Linked DNA regions of Saccharomyces cerevisiae S288C. The protein of the gene in region 3 interacts with the protein of the main gene of each other region in a biochemical or structural test. Each region holds a gene or a part of one and is shown on either strand. Other genes may lie near its edges.

The links. Proteins that work in one complex are often made in the same cells at the same time.
Region 1: the proteins of SEC24 (region 3) and SEC16 form a complex in vitro, tested with the Saccharomyces cerevisiae proteins (2 studies listed by BioGRID).
Region 2: the proteins of SEC24 (region 3) and SAR1 form a complex in vitro, tested with the Saccharomyces cerevisiae proteins (3 studies listed by BioGRID).

The regions. Positions count from the first base shown.
Region 1 is NC_001148.4:385,548-393,866, reverse strand, and holds SEC16 (COPII coat assembly protein SEC16), read right to left. Parts: upstream 6,801-8,319; coding exon 213-6,800; downstream 1-212. Other genes in the region: Elongator subunit ELP3, read left to right, coding at 7,421-8,319. UniProt on the Saccharomyces cerevisiae protein: Involved in the initiation of assembly of the COPII coat required for the formation of transport vesicles from the endoplasmic reticulum (ER) and the selection of cargo molecules. Also involved in autophagy.
Region 2 is NC_001148.4:136,905-140,709, forward strand, and holds SAR1 (Arf family GTPase SAR1), read left to right. Parts: upstream 1-1,793; coding exon 1,794-1,821; intron 1,822-1,960; coding exon 1,961-2,505; downstream 2,506-3,805. Other genes in the region: PCL8 (Pcl8p), read left to right, coding at 1-1,324; GTPase BMS1, read right to left, coding at 2,716-3,805. UniProt on the Saccharomyces cerevisiae protein: Small GTPase component of the coat protein complex II (COPII) which promotes the formation of transport vesicles from the endoplasmic reticulum (ER).
Region 3 is NC_001141.2:156,082-162,486, forward strand, and holds SEC24 (COPII subunit SEC24), read right to left. Parts: upstream 4,085-6,405; coding exon 1,304-4,084; downstream 1-1,303. Other genes in the region: HPM1 (protein-histidine N-methyltransferase), read left to right, coding at 1-1,097; YIL108W (putative metalloendopeptidase), read left to right, coding at 4,806-6,405. UniProt on the Saccharomyces cerevisiae protein: Component of the coat protein complex II (COPII) which promotes the formation of transport vesicles from the endoplasmic reticulum (ER).

The DNA.
Region 1 (8,319 bases), on a different chromosome or scaffold from region 3:
CAAGAAAATGAGGTATGATAGAATAATATTAGTATAAGCAAAGTTTCAGATCGCATTCATCTGATTTCTTACTGACAACGATGCATAACCTAAATACGGATTCCTGTAATCATTGTTTTAATAAAATTTACTACGGTTTTTATAAGTATATAATATACATCAAGAAAAGGGAAGGCATAAGGGTACCATGAAAGAAAAACGTATTACTATAATTATTGTATGTTATCCATTACATTAACATAGCCTCTCGCTGTTTTCTTCTTCCTTCTCGTACTTGCTGGTTTGGGTCCTCCTGCCAAACTCAATAAATCATCCAAACCGTTTGCCTTTTTGCTAGTCAAGTTTACGCCAGAAATCCTTGATATGGGAGAGGATGGTGATGGAGAATTGTTTGGATTGGGTCCTGTAGGAGAAGGGGATGTTTTGATCGGCAAAGGCTCACCAGTGATTGGATTGTTCGGAATAACTGATGTGGCATGTACTGGAGGTAGGGAATTATTGATGGGGCCTGAACGTGGCTTTGTCTTTGGGCCGCCATCTTTACGTTTCACGATTGGAGGAGGTGGTGGTGCCGAACTTTCAATAATTTTTTGTTTTTCCTCTTCGGTTGCGTCCTTATTCACCCAACGTTTCAATTTTTCATCATAGTATAGTGTGTTTTTATGACCTAGCTTGGCCTTATACACTTTTTTGTCGCCAGTATCTTTCTTCAACCAACCAAACCAACCATTAGACTTGTCATCTATGTCCTTGTTACTTGGTTTTGTTTCCTTTTTCATATTCACATTCTTTTTTTCTTCCTTTCTGTTCTTTGCCTCATCAGTAGACATATTGTCGTCATCGGATTCATCTTCAATAACGTCATTGTATTTATCCGCATCTGATTCCAACGGTTTAAAAGCCCTGTATTGGTTAGTTGAAGCCTTCCTAATAGTAGGTTGAAAAGTGTCTTTCTCGACGACTTCGGCTTTCTTTATTGGGCTGAATCTATTTTCTGAAGCAACATTTCCATTACTTTGTGCCTGGGATGTTGATTCAGATAATTCGAATGAAGCAGTTTCATTTGCTTGGTTGACCAAAGGAAAGTATTGTGATGGATTGGATGCATGTGCTTGGTGAGTTCTTGCATATATAGCAGGCGATGTTTTCAGAATCGTTGATTCATCGCCATCTGCACTAGCGGCAGTTGATTGAGGCACGTATGGTGAGTAGTTCATTTTGGTTGCGTCAGTACTTTTTGGCTTTGGTGGTGCCATATGTTGCTCCACAAGTTTGGATGCTTTATTATTAACATTTCTTGGAACATCTTGCACTTGAGAAATTGGTTTAGCTTCCATTGAAATACTTCCTGCTGGCAAGTATGTGGATTGAACTGTCTCTGAGATACTGTTTTCATCCTGAGTTAGCGGTCTGTTTTCGAGTGACAATCCACCAGTTGATGGTAAATATGCTGATGATGCTGATTTTGAAATGTTTTCTGGCTGCTCCTCGCTACTTCTTTCATTTTCAATGGAGGGAAGTGAATTTTCCATTTTCGATGCATCAGTACCCCGGACCTCCACGTTAGTTTGAAGAATCGGTTGGATATCGTCACTAATAGTTTGTATAGGATTTACTGTAGACGTAGGCTGGTGGTTGGGCTCCATAGGAAGAAGATTCTTCACATCGTTGAAGCCAGGTCCTTCAATATCCATTGTTTCATCTGTAACATCTGCAGAGTCTTTTAATGTATTTTGATCAGCATTGCTATTATCATGTGATGTGTGAGATTCATCTTCAGGCATACTTTTTTGAGAATGTTTGTTACCAAAATCATTGTATCCCGTCTCATGAACTTGCGGGACGACAGGGTCGATAGGCAAAGCTTCCACACTTGGTGAGTACATAAGCGATCCCTGCGAGGAATTAGCTTTAGTAGGTACCCCAATTTTGGGAGGAGGAAGAAATTCTGATCCGGTAGATATGATAGACTCCCTTCTTACTAAGTCAGGACTAGACACATAATTAGACGGCACTGTTCCAAGTTTGGGTGGAGCAGGGAAGTCGGCAAATAAAGATGGCACATTCGAATTAGACTTTTCCATTGGAACGCTATGGTTCTGTCCAAATTGTGGAGTGTAGGCCGTAGACTTTTTCTCTAAAATCTGCTGACTCTTCAAAGCCTTTTCGTTTGTATGCTGGTCTGTTCTAACTCTTCTCAAAGAAGCCATTTGAGGCTCAGCAGCAGCGAACTGTGTATTATGAATGCGCTGAGGAGATCCCTGCAAACTATCACCGATCCTATGCGTATACGGTAAGTTTGCTTCAACTAACCCCTTTGACACATTGGAAGGCTTTGAATGCAGCACACTATGGCTTGGTACATTATGGGCATTATGCAAAAGAGCTGTAGTATCCACATAGCTTTGCGAAGTAACTTGAGCTTGGAAAGGTGTGAATGTTTGGGTGAGATCCACAGTTGACGAATTGGCAGAAGATCCCGGTGTGAACCCATCAAAAACTTTCTTTTTATCATTTTTTTTATTCAATGCATCAATATCATCGCCACCAATATATTTATTGAAGGATTTATCTAATTGACCCCATACGCTGCTTAGTTTTGGTTTTGCAAGCCATCCTGTATTAGACTCGGAAAGCCTACTAGCCACCTCACTCAATTCACGAGTGAGGTTTATTGTTAAAATATCTTTCTTAGGCAGTTTTCGAACTGAGGAACTGAGGTAATCAGTATACTTTGTCCCCAGGCTGTTCAAACCTTGTTCTTGTAAAAGAGATGCATGGTATATCTTCTGGGGCAAAATAGATGAAAATCCTTTGAATTTAGGGTCATACGAGAATATATACTCGTAGATTTCATCCCATAGAATGCTTTCAAAAGTATTCATGTTTCCAATACTTTCAAATATAACGTCTGAATCTGCCATTACTGGCTCATTAGAAAGTGGTACGTTACCAATAATAAATAATGTACTAGCTGCGGCTGTCAAGCCCTTTTTGGTGAGGAATATACCGAACTCTATCAAAAATTCAAGGACAACAGGTGGTATAAGTAGTGGATCTTCATTATTTTCTGGGATATTAATCAGAACAGCTGCAACGATACTCTTCCAGTTTTCGGATGCCCATTGACTGGTCTCATTATTAGTGTAGAAACTTTTTATGGCCATTTTGGAGTTACCAACAAATACTTGAAAGATAAGGAGCAGAAAGTGTGCCAATTCTTTTTGGTCGTTTGGCCCCGCAGTAAACCCTTCATATAAATATTTCTGAATGACTTCAGACCATCTGTCTTTACCCATTAAACTGCCAACCAATAGTGCAATGGCATAATCCCTCTTGCTTAAAGCTAAGCGAAGTGCCTCATCGTGATTTCCCGTTTGTAAGAACGCCAGGACTCTCATCTGACAATTTATATCCAGTCTATATGCATTTGGAATCATGTCACCGTTTGGAAAGGGCTGAGATAGGTACATTAAAAGTTCGTCAGAATTGTATAGTAGTTTTGAAATATTTTTCCAGTTAACTTTATCGTTTAGTTTCATTTCCAATAGTTGCCATATAGTCATATCAGTGGATGATTCATTTTCAGATATGGATTTAATAGTGGTTTCCATCCATTTGGTTAAATCCTTTTTTTTTAATTTGGCACTACCCAAAGGACCTGGGAAGCTTTTGAGCATATCGTTCGGTTTAATTATCTGGTCAATTGGTGTCACTTTTATTTCCTGTACAATGCTTGATGAAATCATGTACTGCGATTGGTCAGGGATAGGGGGGACTGCGTACACGACCTTGTTTGCAGCACTCCAATGAAAAATCGGAAATTGACGGCGTAATAAAGCCTCGTTGTCTATTTTAATTGGATTATTTTCCTGTCGTGGTGGTGCAACACTACTTGTAGCTCGATGCGTGATAATTTCTGGCAGTATGTTTTCAGCAAGTGGCAAATTTGCAAGAGGTAGTGAATTTGCAGCCGTTATGTTGCTTGCACGGGGTTGCAAGTTCGTAGCGGCTTGTAAGGGGTCTAGAGGTCGTAAGGGGGCTAAAGGTAAAATGCCAGTAGGCGGTTGAATGTTCGCGTGAGGCTGAATACTTGCTGAAGTTTGAGCCTGGGGCATCATAGGAACTGCATAAGAACTTCGGGTTTGGCTTTGATAGCTTGAATTCCCAGCTACAGGACCAACAGGTTGTGAGGTATATGGCACCTGATAAGATTGTTGATAGTTGGGTGCGTATCTAGAGGCGTGTTCATTCTGGTTTGGTGTATACGAACTAATAGAGCTTGTATGGCCTCTATGGGTCTTTACAAAATTGGGGGTATTTACGGCCGAAGCGCCAAGGTTTTGCACAACTGATGGATATTGCTTCTGCTGAACTGTAGGAGAGACGGGGGCATACTTATTCGCAGTTGGCAAATTTATGGTAGCTTGACCATATGGCGAAACCGGAGGTACCCCGTTATTGAGGCCGTACTGTGTTGCATGTCTAGCACCAAAAGACGCTGAACTTCCCACGGAGGCATTGCTGACCCCTCTTGCCCGAATTGGAGGAGCAGAAACGGTGGTTTCCACTTTTAATGCTGGGGGAGGTATGTTGGTATTTGGTAAAGGCATACCTGATTGGATAGGAGCCTGTTGTAGTTGTTGAATTTTGTATGGGTTAGGGAAAGCATAATTAACGGGAGATTGCGAGATCGCTGAGTTAGTTCTCGAAGATCGAGGCTCCTGCGTCCCCAATGGGATCACGGGTGGCCTATTTGAGTTATTAGAGCCTTTCCTGCTCTGTGGAATTGGTTTGTCCAAAGAACTAAAAGAATTCCCTGAGCCAAACCTTTGAGTAGGAACGGCAACCGGCTTTGCGTGACCCTTCTTGGAACTTTCTGAAATAATTTCCAGTGGAAAATCGTAAGCATCAGACTTCTTTTTCTCCTCATTTATCTTAAAATTTGAACGATTGTCTTTTACCACAGGAGGCTTAGGACTAACTATATTTGGTACACTGACTTGTTGGTTGGGGGTGCCTAGTCCAGTTTTAGTCAAACCGTGGAACTGCTGCGGTGTTACAATGCCAGTAGTATTGGTAAAATGAACTTGCTCTTGACGCATTCCTGCTTCCTCCTCGATAATAGGTTTATATCTTGAAGCCTTTTTTTCTTCAACTGGTTTTGAGGTTAAATTCGTTGTATTATCGGTATTAGGTACTGTGTCTTCTTCCTCAGAAGAAGCCAAAAAGCTGTCGTCGTCGTCCAAAAGGTCGTCGTCGTTTTCCAAAAACGAAAACTTTTGCTCAGCTATTTTCTCAGTACTAGTCTGCATGCTGTTTTCCGTCTTTCCCGATGATACTTCACCGTCAGAAACTTCCCAAGGAAGTTTCTCATCGTTTCCAGAAGCAGCAAATAAATCTTCATGTTTCTCTTGGGATTTGCTCGTTACATCAGCGTTTTTATCAGTAGATTCCCATGGCAAAACTTCTCCCAAGTCTCCGCTGCTCTGCGTAAACAAATCCTCGGCTTGATCTTGAATATCCTTACCAGGTTCTATAATGTCAGCTTCGGCAGACAACGGTAACTTATGATTCCCTTCCCCCATTAATTTCTGGCTTTCATTCTCAATATTTTTCCCAGTGAAATCATTTTGGCCTTCAACTACCTGTTTGTCGTGTCCGTGAAAGATATCTTCTGAAGTTTCTTCAGAGTACGACCTCTCGTCCGCGGCTGTACAACTTTCGGACTTTTTCAAAGCTTCGTTTCCTTCATAACCCTTATCACGATCATCTGTGTTCGGTGCCGATTCTTGAGTATTATTTGTGTTCTCATTATGAAAATCTTTCTTCACATCTTCCTCCCATGGAACCTTCTGATCACTTTCGTCATCTTGAAACAACATGGAGGTATCATCACCAGAATTTCTTATTTTATTCTCAGATGGTTCTGTACTAGACGTAAATAAGTTTTCTGCAGTTTCCTGATCAGCGATATCCTGTTTCTTTTCTTCGGTTGATACATGCGTTTCTAGTTTTAATCTTTCATCTTCTTCCTTTGAAAGTTCATCAGGAAGCACATTATTTGCGTTCAAACTAATTTCCTTATCATTACAATACTCATCGTCATTTATTTCATTGTCTTTTGTGCCTAGAGGAACATTGTGAGTTGGCGTATCACCAGAAGATAATTCTGGAGAAAGAAGATTGCCATCGGATGGGAGAAAATGATTATATTGAGAAGGGGTAGCATCGTTTAATGATGAAATTATTATGCTGTCGTGATTTTCACCCTCTTCTTCATTGAAAGAATCCTCTTCCACAGCGGATACGGCAATTTTCTGGGTATGTTCATTATTATTGTGAAGTTCTCCCGCGACTACATCGAGCGATGGATTTCTCGAAGATAAGTGAGCGGCAGTCTCTTCGTATTCTTGAGACATGGCTGGTTTTGTTTGGGTAATAACAGAGTCATGTTCAACGATTGAGTTGTCTGGCAAATCATTTGAGTCCGCGGTAATATCATGTTGATCAGAGTCGTTGAGCAGTTTATGATGCAATTCTTGAGTATCAGGTATTTCTAGTTGTGTTTCATTAGCCGGAGAGATATTGGTAGATGATGAGACCGGAGGAACATCAGATTTTGAAGCTATGTCAGATTCTGTACGGTTCACCGAGTCGTCGTTGAAGCTGCTGTTAATCGTACTTTCTGGTAATTCAAGTGGTTCTTCACTGTGGCTAGCAGCTTTCTCAGCAGCTTTTTTTTGCTTTTGCTTCAACTTCTTCTTTTGGTTTTTCCTTTTCTTGGCTTCAGGTGTCATTCTTAACACGTTATTAAATGAAGACTATACAAAATAATAGGTACAACGGTTTCCTTGGTTATGGCCAGTTAAATACCACTATTTTGAAAAGGGAATATTGATAACAGTTGTTGTCCAGTTTCTCAAGCAGGAGGGCTGCAAATATTCAATGACCAAAATCTTGTGTAACCTGCCAATTAACCTTTTCCGTATATCTTTCTCTTGCTCGTAAGTTTATAGTGGAAAATGCCACATGTACGGTCGCTTGAGGTTTGAAATTATGGATCAGAAAGTGATGATCACTTATAACGTTGTGTTATATTATTCAACAATGAGATATACAGCGATAAGACAGTGAGAGAAGGAGAAAGCACTTAAAAGAAGAAAGTCTTAACTTAGGATGAACTTCTGATTTTCAAAAGTCAATACTGCCACTGTTTGATTTTATTTTTCTGCCGCTTTCATTGTTTAATCATTTCACCTTTTATTATTTACTGTCACTGGCTCTTCCTCATGAAAAAAAAAAAATGGTCAAAAAATTTTGAAATTTAGTTAGCTCATCTCAAATTATCCAGTGCAAAGTTTTGAAATAAACAAGTCCTAAAAGCACCTAAGGAAAATCGAAGAACACCCTGACAAAGATGGCTCGTCATGGAAAAGGCCCAAAAACTAACAAAAAAAAGCTAGCACCTGAAAAGGAAAGGTTTATACAATGTTGTGCTGATATCACATTAGAGTTAACAGATTCTTTAACCTCGGGAACAACAAGAGAAATTAATCTGAATGGTTTGATTACTAAATATTCAAAGAAATATAAACTAAAGCAACAACCAAGGTTAACCGATATCATTAATTCTATTCCAGACCAATACAAAAAATATTTATTACCCAAATTGAAGGCTAAGCCAGTAAGAACAGCATCGGGTATTGCAGTGGTAGCCGTTATGTGTAAACCACATCGTTGTCCTCACATTGCATATACAGGTAATATTTGTGTTTATTGTCCAGGTGGTCCAGATTCAGATTTTGAGTATTCTACACAATCTTACACAGGCTATGAACCAACTTCAATGCGTGCCATCAGAGCTCGTTATGACCCTTATGAACAAGCACGTGGTAGGGTGGAACAATTGAAACAGTTAGGTCACTCCATCGATAAAGTCGAATATGTTCTGATGGGTGGTACATTTATGTCATTACCAAAAGAATATCGTGAAGATTTTATTGTGAAATTGCATAATGCACTTTCTGGGTTCAATGGTAATGATATTGATGAAGCTATTCTTTATTCGCAACAAAGTTTAACGAAGTGTGTTGGTATAACAATCGAAACTAGGCCTGATTATTGTACGCAAACACATTTGGACGATATGTTAAAATATGGCTGTACCAGATTAGAAATTGGTGTTCAGTCCTTGTACGAAGACGTTGCTCGTGATACTAATAGAGGACACACCGTTAGGTCTGTTTGTGAAACTTTTGCTGTGTCTAAAGATGCTGGTTATAAGGTTGTTTCTCACATGATGCCAGATTTACCAAA
Region 2 (3,805 bases), on a different chromosome or scaffold from region 3:
CGTTTCTCAAAGCAGGAACTTTTCAGAAGTAAATGACGTGTTAGACCCGCTTTCTAGTTTGCATGGTCCGTCCAAGAAGGTGAGATTTGAACAGCAAAAGCAGCAACAGCAACATCAGCAACTTCACAATGACTTCAATACAGATTTCAACCTGAAAAGCCCGTCCAGTAAAAAAATGGGGGTAGAACAGCTGATCCAGTCAGCCAATGAAATCAACGATTACCTCGCTAACAACATTGACAAGGTAAATAGCTTTAACTCAGAGCTATTGAGCGGCAGTGGCAAGTTACCTGGGAGAGTAAAGAGTGACACAGCAACTCAAGGTACCGGACGCTTAGATTCCATGTCCAACTTTGCTCTTAGCGATACGGAGTTGGACAATGATGACGATAATTATCTCCTGGATCCCCTTGCAAATGCTAGCTCTACTACACCCACTGTGGAACACCACGGTTACAGCTTATTAGACAAGGCTTTATCCACGTCTGATAAGGAAAAAATATATACGAATAAAGTGAATTCGAATAGTCAGATAGATACTGATAATCACTCTCACGAAAGTGGAAACACTACCAATAACGAAACAGATGAAAATGAGAGTTCGGAGATCCTGGACTACACAAAATTTGATTCTTTCCCCTATCCCCCGTCTTCTGCCCCCAATGGGGAACCACCAGATTTGAAAGTGCTAAGCATTGAATGTGAGCAGGAAAATGAAAAAGAGCTACGACGAATATCTTTATTATTGGATCATTACGAATCAATACCGAAAATACCAGAATTGTCAGACGATGAAGCACTATCTAAGTTCCGTGAGAATATCGAATTAATTTTACAACTATCTAAGAAAATTAACGATAATGCGAACACTTTAGCGATTTCCTCCGAAGATCCTCAAAAATTTGTTAATTTTGTGATGAAGAACCCACCTTCCTTATCATTCAGAGATTTTATCGACAGAATCCAGAATAAATGCATGTTTGGTGCCGTAGTCTATCTTGGAGCCACCTATCTACTTCAACTTGTGTTTCTTACGAGAGACGAAATGGACGGTCCCATAAAGTTGAAGGCTAAATTACAGGAGGACCAAGCCCATAGGATCATCATATCTACAATAAGAATTGCCACCAAGCTATTAGAAGACTTTGTCCACTCACAAAACTACATTTGCAAAGTCTTCGGTATTTCAAAAAGACTGCTGACCAAACTGGAAATTTCTTTCATGGCGAGTGTTAATTTCGATGGATTAATGATTACTTGTGAAAAATTAGAAAAAACATTGCATATCCTTGATGATACAAGACAGGCATTAGGAAACACATGAGTTTTGCATATGTATTATGCAGGTTCATTTGTTCCTTCCCTTATTTCTTTTCATAGTATTTATTTTTATTTATTTATTTATTTTTTTTTGGATTTTATTTTATTTCTTTTTTAATGCTAAGAAAGTAATTCCGCATAATTAAACGTGTGCTGGCCTCGATAGGTACCTATAGTATACAGAAGCTTACGAAAAGCTCCTGCAGGATGGCACTTCTAAAATTCGCGCTCAACATGGCCGTATTGTACATTATATCGTTCTATCATTATATCGTATACGCCCGCATTACCCGACAACTCCGTCTGCAACGCGTTGACCAGAAAACTCGAACAAGAGATCGCATAAAAAACCAAAAGGAAACGAATTACTTGTCAAATAGTTATTGTAATGGATCCTCTAGAAAGGCAAACAGTAGATTTATTTCCTTCTTTTCTAGAAACATCATTATAACTAACAATATATAATTGGAATAATGGCTGGTTGGGATATTTTTGGTTGGTGTATGTTATCACCCTGTTCACGTTTTTCGGATACTTAGTTTTATTCAATGTGGTAAACATTGAATGTTTTCAGCTTAAGATCTATTTTTTTTTTTCTAGAAGAAATTGCGTCCTTTACTAACTTTATTTTACTGTACAGTCAGAGATGTGTTGGCTTCCCTTGGTCTGTGGAACAAACATGGTAAACTACTTTTCTTGGGTTTGGATAATGCCGGTAAGACCACATTGCTACATATGTTAAAGAACGATAGATTGGCAACCTTACAACCAACATGGCATCCAACTTCTGAAGAACTGGCTATTGGTAACATTAAGTTTACAACTTTCGATTTGGGTGGTCATATTCAAGCTCGTCGTTTATGGAAGGATTATTTCCCAGAAGTTAATGGTATCGTCTTTTTAGTCGATGCTGCTGACCCTGAAAGATTTGATGAAGCACGTGTCGAATTAGATGCTTTATTCAACATTGCCGAATTGAAGGACGTTCCTTTTGTAATTCTTGGTAACAAGATCGATGCTCCAAACGCCGTTTCTGAAGCGGAGCTACGTTCTGCTTTAGGATTATTGAATACCACTGGCTCTCAAAGAATTGAAGGTCAAAGACCAGTTGAAGTTTTCATGTGTTCCGTTGTTATGAGAAATGGTTATTTAGAGGCGTTCCAATGGTTATCTCAATATATTTAATTGACGTATACATCTATACCCTTTATATGACATTCACATGAATTCAACAGCTTTGTAATAATCAACAAAATTGCATAGGATGCCACCTCATAACTTTTGAGCACAGCATTTCCGCGATCATAGTATATTTTAGACTCTAAGATTGAATAAAAGTATGATACATCTTAAGTATACATATATATATGTATATATATATATATACATGAAAGTTTACCTCCTCATCTTACGTGGACGAGATTCATCGTCACCGCCCATAGTTGTTCTTTTACCATTCTGGGCGAAGTATTCTTTCTTTTTCTCCTTATCCCTTTGTGATTTTTCTTCCTCCATCTTAGCTAATTTTTTCAATCTTTCCTTACGTTGACTAGCCTTCTGTTCCTTCCTCTTGCTGTCTTTGGCTTTCGAAATCGTCAATACTTTTTGAATGAATGATCTTGCCTTCTTTTCATCACCACCTAGCACCACGGCTCTTTTAGCCATATATGTTTTCTTCTTTTGTGGTTTCATTTGATGGATCTGAGATTTGAATGGCAATTCCTTTTGAACAGCTTTTGGGACCTTTAGACCATTGAAGTGTCTTTCTACACGTTCTATTTTATGATATGCACTGTCCGGATTCGACGGTGTTTCCAGGTTCATAGCCGCTCTTATTTGGCCTGTCAATCTTAAACCTTTCCACTCGGTTTTTTCCTTCAACAATAGTGAGGTAACAGGATTATAGAATTTCTTGACGCGGACAGGATACCATGATCTTAGAATTACAATATCACTCATTAGGATTTTATCCTCAAAGGCTGCCCTATAGTGACCCTCAGGCTTTGAAAGTGCCCTTTTGATTTCACCACGGATACCCGAGACAGTTTTGATCTGCGCACCCTCAAACCTTGCAACTTCCATAGCACTTGAAAACATGTCCTTTATAAAGGCAGTATTTTTGAAAATTTTATATGGAAACCCAACTAATTTTAACTTTTTAACAATTTCAATATTAACGTCTATCTCTTCAACGATACCTGTTGCTGCAATTCTAAAACCGTTCCCGGTATCACTATTAGCAACAATTTGAACACCACAAAAAGGTGTGTTTGGAGAACATAAGGGACCGTAGAAAGCCGCATTACAATATGTGTGTTCTGGTGTATACTTTAGCATTCTGGTTCTTGTTCTAGAGTCAGTTGTTGTATAAATTGGTAAAGTTTGGAACCTTCTCCAACCCAAAGACAAGACCAGTGGGTCATTTGTCTTCAAAATCTTCTTATGCCAACGATGTCTTCTCAACCTGGCTTTGACAATACCGAAC
Region 3 (6,405 bases):
ATGATGATGAGCTTGTTGCTCAACCTGAAACATTCGTTGAAAGCAGCAAAGAAAACGAAAATACCACTGCTTACATCAATCCATTAGATTCGGATTTCTTGTCGCAAGCTGGAGTTGTGCAGCCAAATGTGGAAGACCTAGGAACAATATTGGAAAGTCTTAAGGATGTTAGATTGACATTTGAAGAGTTCCAATCTCCGATATATAGAAAACCATTGATCAAGAGGGAACTATTCGATGTCAAACATCAGCTAATGTTAGAGACAGATGCCCAATCCAACAACAACTCCACGGAACTGGACATTTTACTAGGTGATACTTCTGAAGATTTGAGAAAGAACATCTATGAAGGTGGGTTGAAATCATGGGAGTGCTCTTATGATTTAGTTGATTTGTTGTCAGAGAACGTTGATAGAATAAGCAACGATATCGACGCGGTTGTCGAAATAGGCTGTGGTACGGCACTACCCTCAGAGTTTCTTTTCAGATCTGCTCTTCTACGGAATGATAGAAGTAAAGGTTTAAAGTTTGTTTTGACTGACTATAATGCCAGTGTATTAAGATTAGTTACCATACCGAATTTGGTTATAACATGGGCTAAAACGGTTTTGACAAAGGAACAATGGTACGCCTTACAGAAAGACGAATGTGAAGATATTCCAATAAATAATGAGGAACTGCTTCTTACCTCAAAGCTGTTAGCTGCCTTTTACGACGATGTACAAAGCAGGAATATCAGCGTCACTCTTATATCAGGATCGTGGGGACGTAAATTTAGTAATTTGATCCATGAAGTACTCTCAGGTAGCCAAAAAGTCCTTTCATTATCCTCAGAAACAATTTATCAACCTGACAATTTGCCCGTTATAGCGGAAACAATACTTGACATACACAATTTACCACAAACCGATGTCAAAACTTACGTAGCCGCAAAGGATATTTATTTTGGAGTCGGTGGTAGCATCACTGAATTTGAAGCTTATTTGGACGACAAAATAAACTCCGAACATCTACCAATTCATTCTGAAAGGTTTAAAGTTAACTCTGGCTTAAAAAGGTCGATTATATGCATTGAAACAAATAAAGCTATCCGATAGTTAGTATAATTTGTTTCAACTTCATTTCCTTAAGTTAATCCATAAGTCTTTTACTGTATCTTTTATTTATAACATGGATGAAAATAGAAAAGAAATATAGAAGTAAAAATTAAAGTAACTGTTCAATATACATAATATAATTGGAAAGCAAAAATGCAACCAACAAAAATATACAGTTTCTTTTTATCATTGATTCCCTTTTAGCCTTATTTGCTAATTCTGGCTTTCATGATTTGTAAGAATTCTCTGTAACTTTCGTTATTCAAAATCTTATCCTCCACTAAGGTGCTAGAAGCCCATAGTCTTAGCGTTGCAACTTCCCTAGCAGATGCATGGTTAACGGGCTCGCTCAAAGAGGCACCCCTAACAATATACAATGATTGGTAAGTGATGACATCATCATGGTTTCTCAATTGGTTGATAATGTTTCTTACTCTTTGATTGAATTCAGAATTTTCAACAACAGGTATTTCCTGTTTGCCAATTGGAATGTCAAAGATATCCTGTGTTCCAAACACATCGAATACTAGCGCTGGTACAGCGTCACCACCCATCCACAAAAACAATTCGTTACCATTATCTATCAAGTATAGACCGTATCTTTCAAACAACGAAGAGGTAGCATTGATTGGTTGAGGCAAAACAATTGTGCCAGTAGCTTCACCATCTTCAGTTTGCACTGGTAACCCAGCCTCATCAGCCATATCATGCAGCGAATAAACATCAGGGTAGATGTTTTTGATTAGATATTTCAAAGGTAATGATTCTAAGTTGTTCAAGGCCGAGGCGCGATGGTCACTTGGGACAATACCAGATCTAAATGCCATATGCTTAGTTAAAGAATGCATTAACAATGGGAACATTCTCAAATTGGCACATAACCTCAATGGGGCCCCCCCTGCAGTGTTGGACACCACTATTTCCTTCTTGTACGTGGCTAAGATATCTTGCACGGATTTGTTGATCAATACTCTTGCATCGTCCAAACTGGAATTCAATGCTTTCTCCACCGCCTTCGAGTTGTAAAACGACGCTATAGCTAATTGGTCAGCAGATGCGTAGACTTCTGCCAACGATTCCGTGGTTGGCATAGCCAATGTTATAATTCTTATTCTACGTTGACTATTATTCAGAGATAAAAGTACCGCTACTTGAACATAACAATAGTCAGCCATAATGGATTCATCAACGTTAACTTCGAATAAGTATGATTGATCTCTTGGCATGGTGGAAAATGCACATAAATCAGATGATCTATTGAAGAAGTGACCATAGAATCTACTCATTCTCAAACCTGTGGAACCACGGGCTCTCATTACGGTTTCCATACAGAAATCCATGGAAATGTGCTTGGCAAACTCAGTGGAAAATTTGACAATATCATTTGGGTTCTTGCCTGAAAAACCAGGATAGAAATGCGTTTGACCAGCAGTGAAACGACTCAAATTCGATAGTGATGCAACGTCCATATAATCTTCAGAAGCCAAAAATAAATCGACAGTAATCTGTACTTTAGAACAATCGATGGTGAAATTCTTATAAAATGAGTCTTGACAGGAAAGTAGTTGTGCAGTTTCCTTGGATGTATTAACAACACCACTTTCATTTCTCCTTTGTAATTTTCCTATGCCTAAGTTGGGCAAAGTACCTGACACAACAATTATTTTACCACCAACGCCACCAATTAAATGATAAGCGGATTTCAAAGCGGGGCCCAGTGCGAAATTTGTGATTAAATTAGATTGGAAGATTTGAGGAATCTTGGTCAATAAAGTTTCAATGTTTTGTCTGCAGGCCTTTAAGGACACAACCATAGAGTTTGGTCTGGGCAAGAAAGGCTCTTCCAGGTCGGCAATATCCATCATGTTGATTTGATCGGCGGACTCTTCATTGTTTTCAGAATCCAATGGGATTTTAAAGTAGTGAATGGCGTTGTCTACACATAAGATGGAAATTCTGGTTCTTTCATCATGGTTTGGAATGGAATCAAGATTTTGCAAAAGGGTGTTGATGGTAGTGGCCAGTAACCCACTCTTGATAGAGGACTGGGAGACATCGATCAGGAAACAGTAAGTGGCTGGAGGTGGTTGTCTTAGAGTATATTCCTTTGGGGCCATATATTCCATCACAGCACATTTGATTTCATTTCTGTCGTATCTACTCTTTGGGTCGTTTGGATCGCTCTGGTCCATTTGCATAGGAACGTCATTGGCCAGACGACAAAAGTTACATCTCCATCTTCTGCCTTGCTCGATAAAAGTGACAAAAGGGTTCATGTAAGAACGACAACGACGACAACGGACAATAAGTCCATCTTCATTCAATGGAGGCGGGTCGATATCGTCGTACAAGTGTTGGTATGGTCTGATAACAAGCCCAAATGGAAGTTTAGACTTCTTCAGCAGGGAGCTGTTCTTAGGAACGGCGTTCAAGGTCGACCTGATATAATCTGGAGACGCATTGGACAATTCAGAAGGAACTAACATCCTTTCTGGAGGAATAACCAACGGTGGGGGAGGCAAGGTCAGATCGGTAATTGGAGGAGGCAATTCCGTCAACAGATCGATTGGATACAACTGGTTCATGGGCCTCATGTTTTGGCCCATTGCGGCGCTAGGTTGGCCATACGCAGGCGCTGCCATTGGTTGTTGCTGTTGCTGCAAAGGTGTGCCCATTTGCACGGGAACCTGTGGCTGCATATAAGCGTTAGGATCGACTAGCGGTACGTTGTGCAGATGCATATCGTTCATGGAAGTGGTGGCCTGATCAATTTGCTGGTGTAACTGTTCTTGAGCAGGGGTTAGGAATTGTTGCTGCCCCATGGAAGGGACTGCACCCTGTGGCGGCATTCCCATCTGACCATAGCTCATTCCAGCTGCAGCAGGATCCTGCGGAGGCATGAATTGTGCTGGCTGTTGTAGAGGGGTGGCATTTTGTCCATACTGGAGCTGAGCTTGTGGGTAAACACGTTTCTTGTGATGAGACATTTTGCAGATGGTCTCAGACTTATATATTTATGTCTGTTTCAATGCGGCAAAAATGGACCTGAGTGCCAGATAAAACCTTTTTGTAGTGCTATTTTTGGCCTGTTTCCTGATGTACCATCCTCCTTACATAGTTTTGTTTTTCTTCGTTTTCGTTCTTCCAGTTTTCATTTTCTTCTGCCGTAAATGGAAAAAACAAGAAAAAAAAAAAGAGAACAGCTAAGCGTTAACAAATCTGCTCCAGTGGCCATGTCCAAGACTGTTTTTCAAGCCCAGATAGTGCCTGAATAGACTGCATTAAGCTGAAAAACTTATAGCAGTGGTTAGTGCAAAATGCACACTTGTCAGTGCTATGTATATTTGTGACACGATTCTATCACCCAAACATAGCACTAATTACTTTTTTGTTACCCGGCATTCTAGGCGGAAATTTGCTGAAATTTTCCATCAATTAATTACGTAACCTATTCTTTTAAGAGCATGATGTTGTATATAAATATAGATCACCTTAGGAACAGTCAGGCTTTCTTAGGTTTCAGAAGTTCATGTGTCTTGGCGCAGTCAATTCTCTCGATCTTTTTTTGGTTTGGACGTTTAAGAGTAGCGGTCGCCGGAAAATAGAGAGAAAAAGGAAATTTAAAAGGAGTTCTTCTTTCTTCTTATTATTAGATCGTATACAGTAAAAAAAAAAAAAGGAAGTAGTAGTTCGAAGAGAAAGAAATAAATGGTAGGCTCGAAGGATATTGATCTATTCAACCTGAGAGAGAACGAGCAAATCGTTTCTCCTTGTCTTATCGTGCACGGAAAATGCAATAAGCAAAATGGTGCGAAGACCGTTCAAGTGCAGCATCCACAATTGCCTCCAATTACTTACCCCATACATAATCAGTTCTTCAAGGCCACTGTGATATTGACTCCTGGTGAGAACAAGTTGACCTTTGTTACAGACACTAACACCGCTAGGACAATCGTATGTTACTACACACCACTGACGCAGAACCCTCCCGTACACCTGTGTCTGATCTTGGCCAAGGATTCGCCTTTACAGTTTGACTCTCCTCGAGAACAGAAGGACAGAGAGGGCGGGAATGGCCTCGAATTGGCAATCAAGAAGCTAAGACTTGGGGCCAGACTCATGCAAGCGTACACGAACGAGCAAATGCTGAGAAACAGTATGGGAAATAGGACGTTTCCCTTTGTTGAAGAATTTACCTGGGACACGCTGTTCGAACGGCCTGCTATGAGAAACACCATCAAAATACATGTAGTTCGTTCGGAAAAGACGGTGAAGGAAATCCAGGACCCTGACATAGCTCAACAGAATTCCAAAGGGAAAAACACCGGCGCCCTTTTTGGGATAGCCATGGACGCCCTTAAAAGTTACGGCGGACCCTTCACCAATAACGAAAAGCCTGTTCAGGCAGCTTGTATGTTTCTAGACACCCACTGGGATGGTAAGTTGATTAGAGGCCACGCCGCATTGGGTGGGGGTGACGACAGCATTAAGCTCGCCATTTTTGGGTCGCACGGGCTTTACTCATGGCCTACTTGTCTCGAGCAATTGGTGCCTTATTTTACTGATGAGACAAGATCCTCCACCAGTGAAGTCGCCAACGACTGTAATGAGTGTGGTACTTACTGGGAATGTTTGACTATCACGTTGGGAGCATTTATGCATGAGATTGGTCACTTACTGGGTTGTCCTCATCAGGAAAGCGGTGTTATGCTAAGAGGCTATACCACTTTGAATAGGTCTTTCTTGACTAAAGAGGCTTATTCTGTAAGAACTAATTCAACTGGTGCTAGTCCTCCCATCTTCCCCAAGGAAGAATGTACCTGGAACCGTCTCGATACGGTAAGATTTTTGTACCACCCCTCTTTCACTTTACCACAGGATTATTACGATCCATCGTTCATGAGACCTACAAAATTGGGCGGATACCCCAATATAAAACACTCTGTATATCCTTTGGGTAACGGCAGTTGCCGCATATTATCGCCCACAGGAATCTATTTGATTGAAATTATATGTGATGATTTGGCCAGGGGCCATATTGAATACTTGCCGGTTTCCCTAGGTGGACAGGGGCCTCAACGGGAAGTTATAGTAACATTAGATGATTTACGTGCCAGGTTGCCCAAGAATGAACTCGCCAAGTTTGGCAATACCTTCAAATTGAAAATTCTTTCTGTTAATGCACCGGAAACCGAGTTCGACAAGTTCCCATCTTTGTTAGATGTTCAGCCATTAGACATGTCGAAATATGGGTTTTCTAAAAATGTTCAAGGTATCAAATCACCACTTTATGGTCGCAGCGACGGTG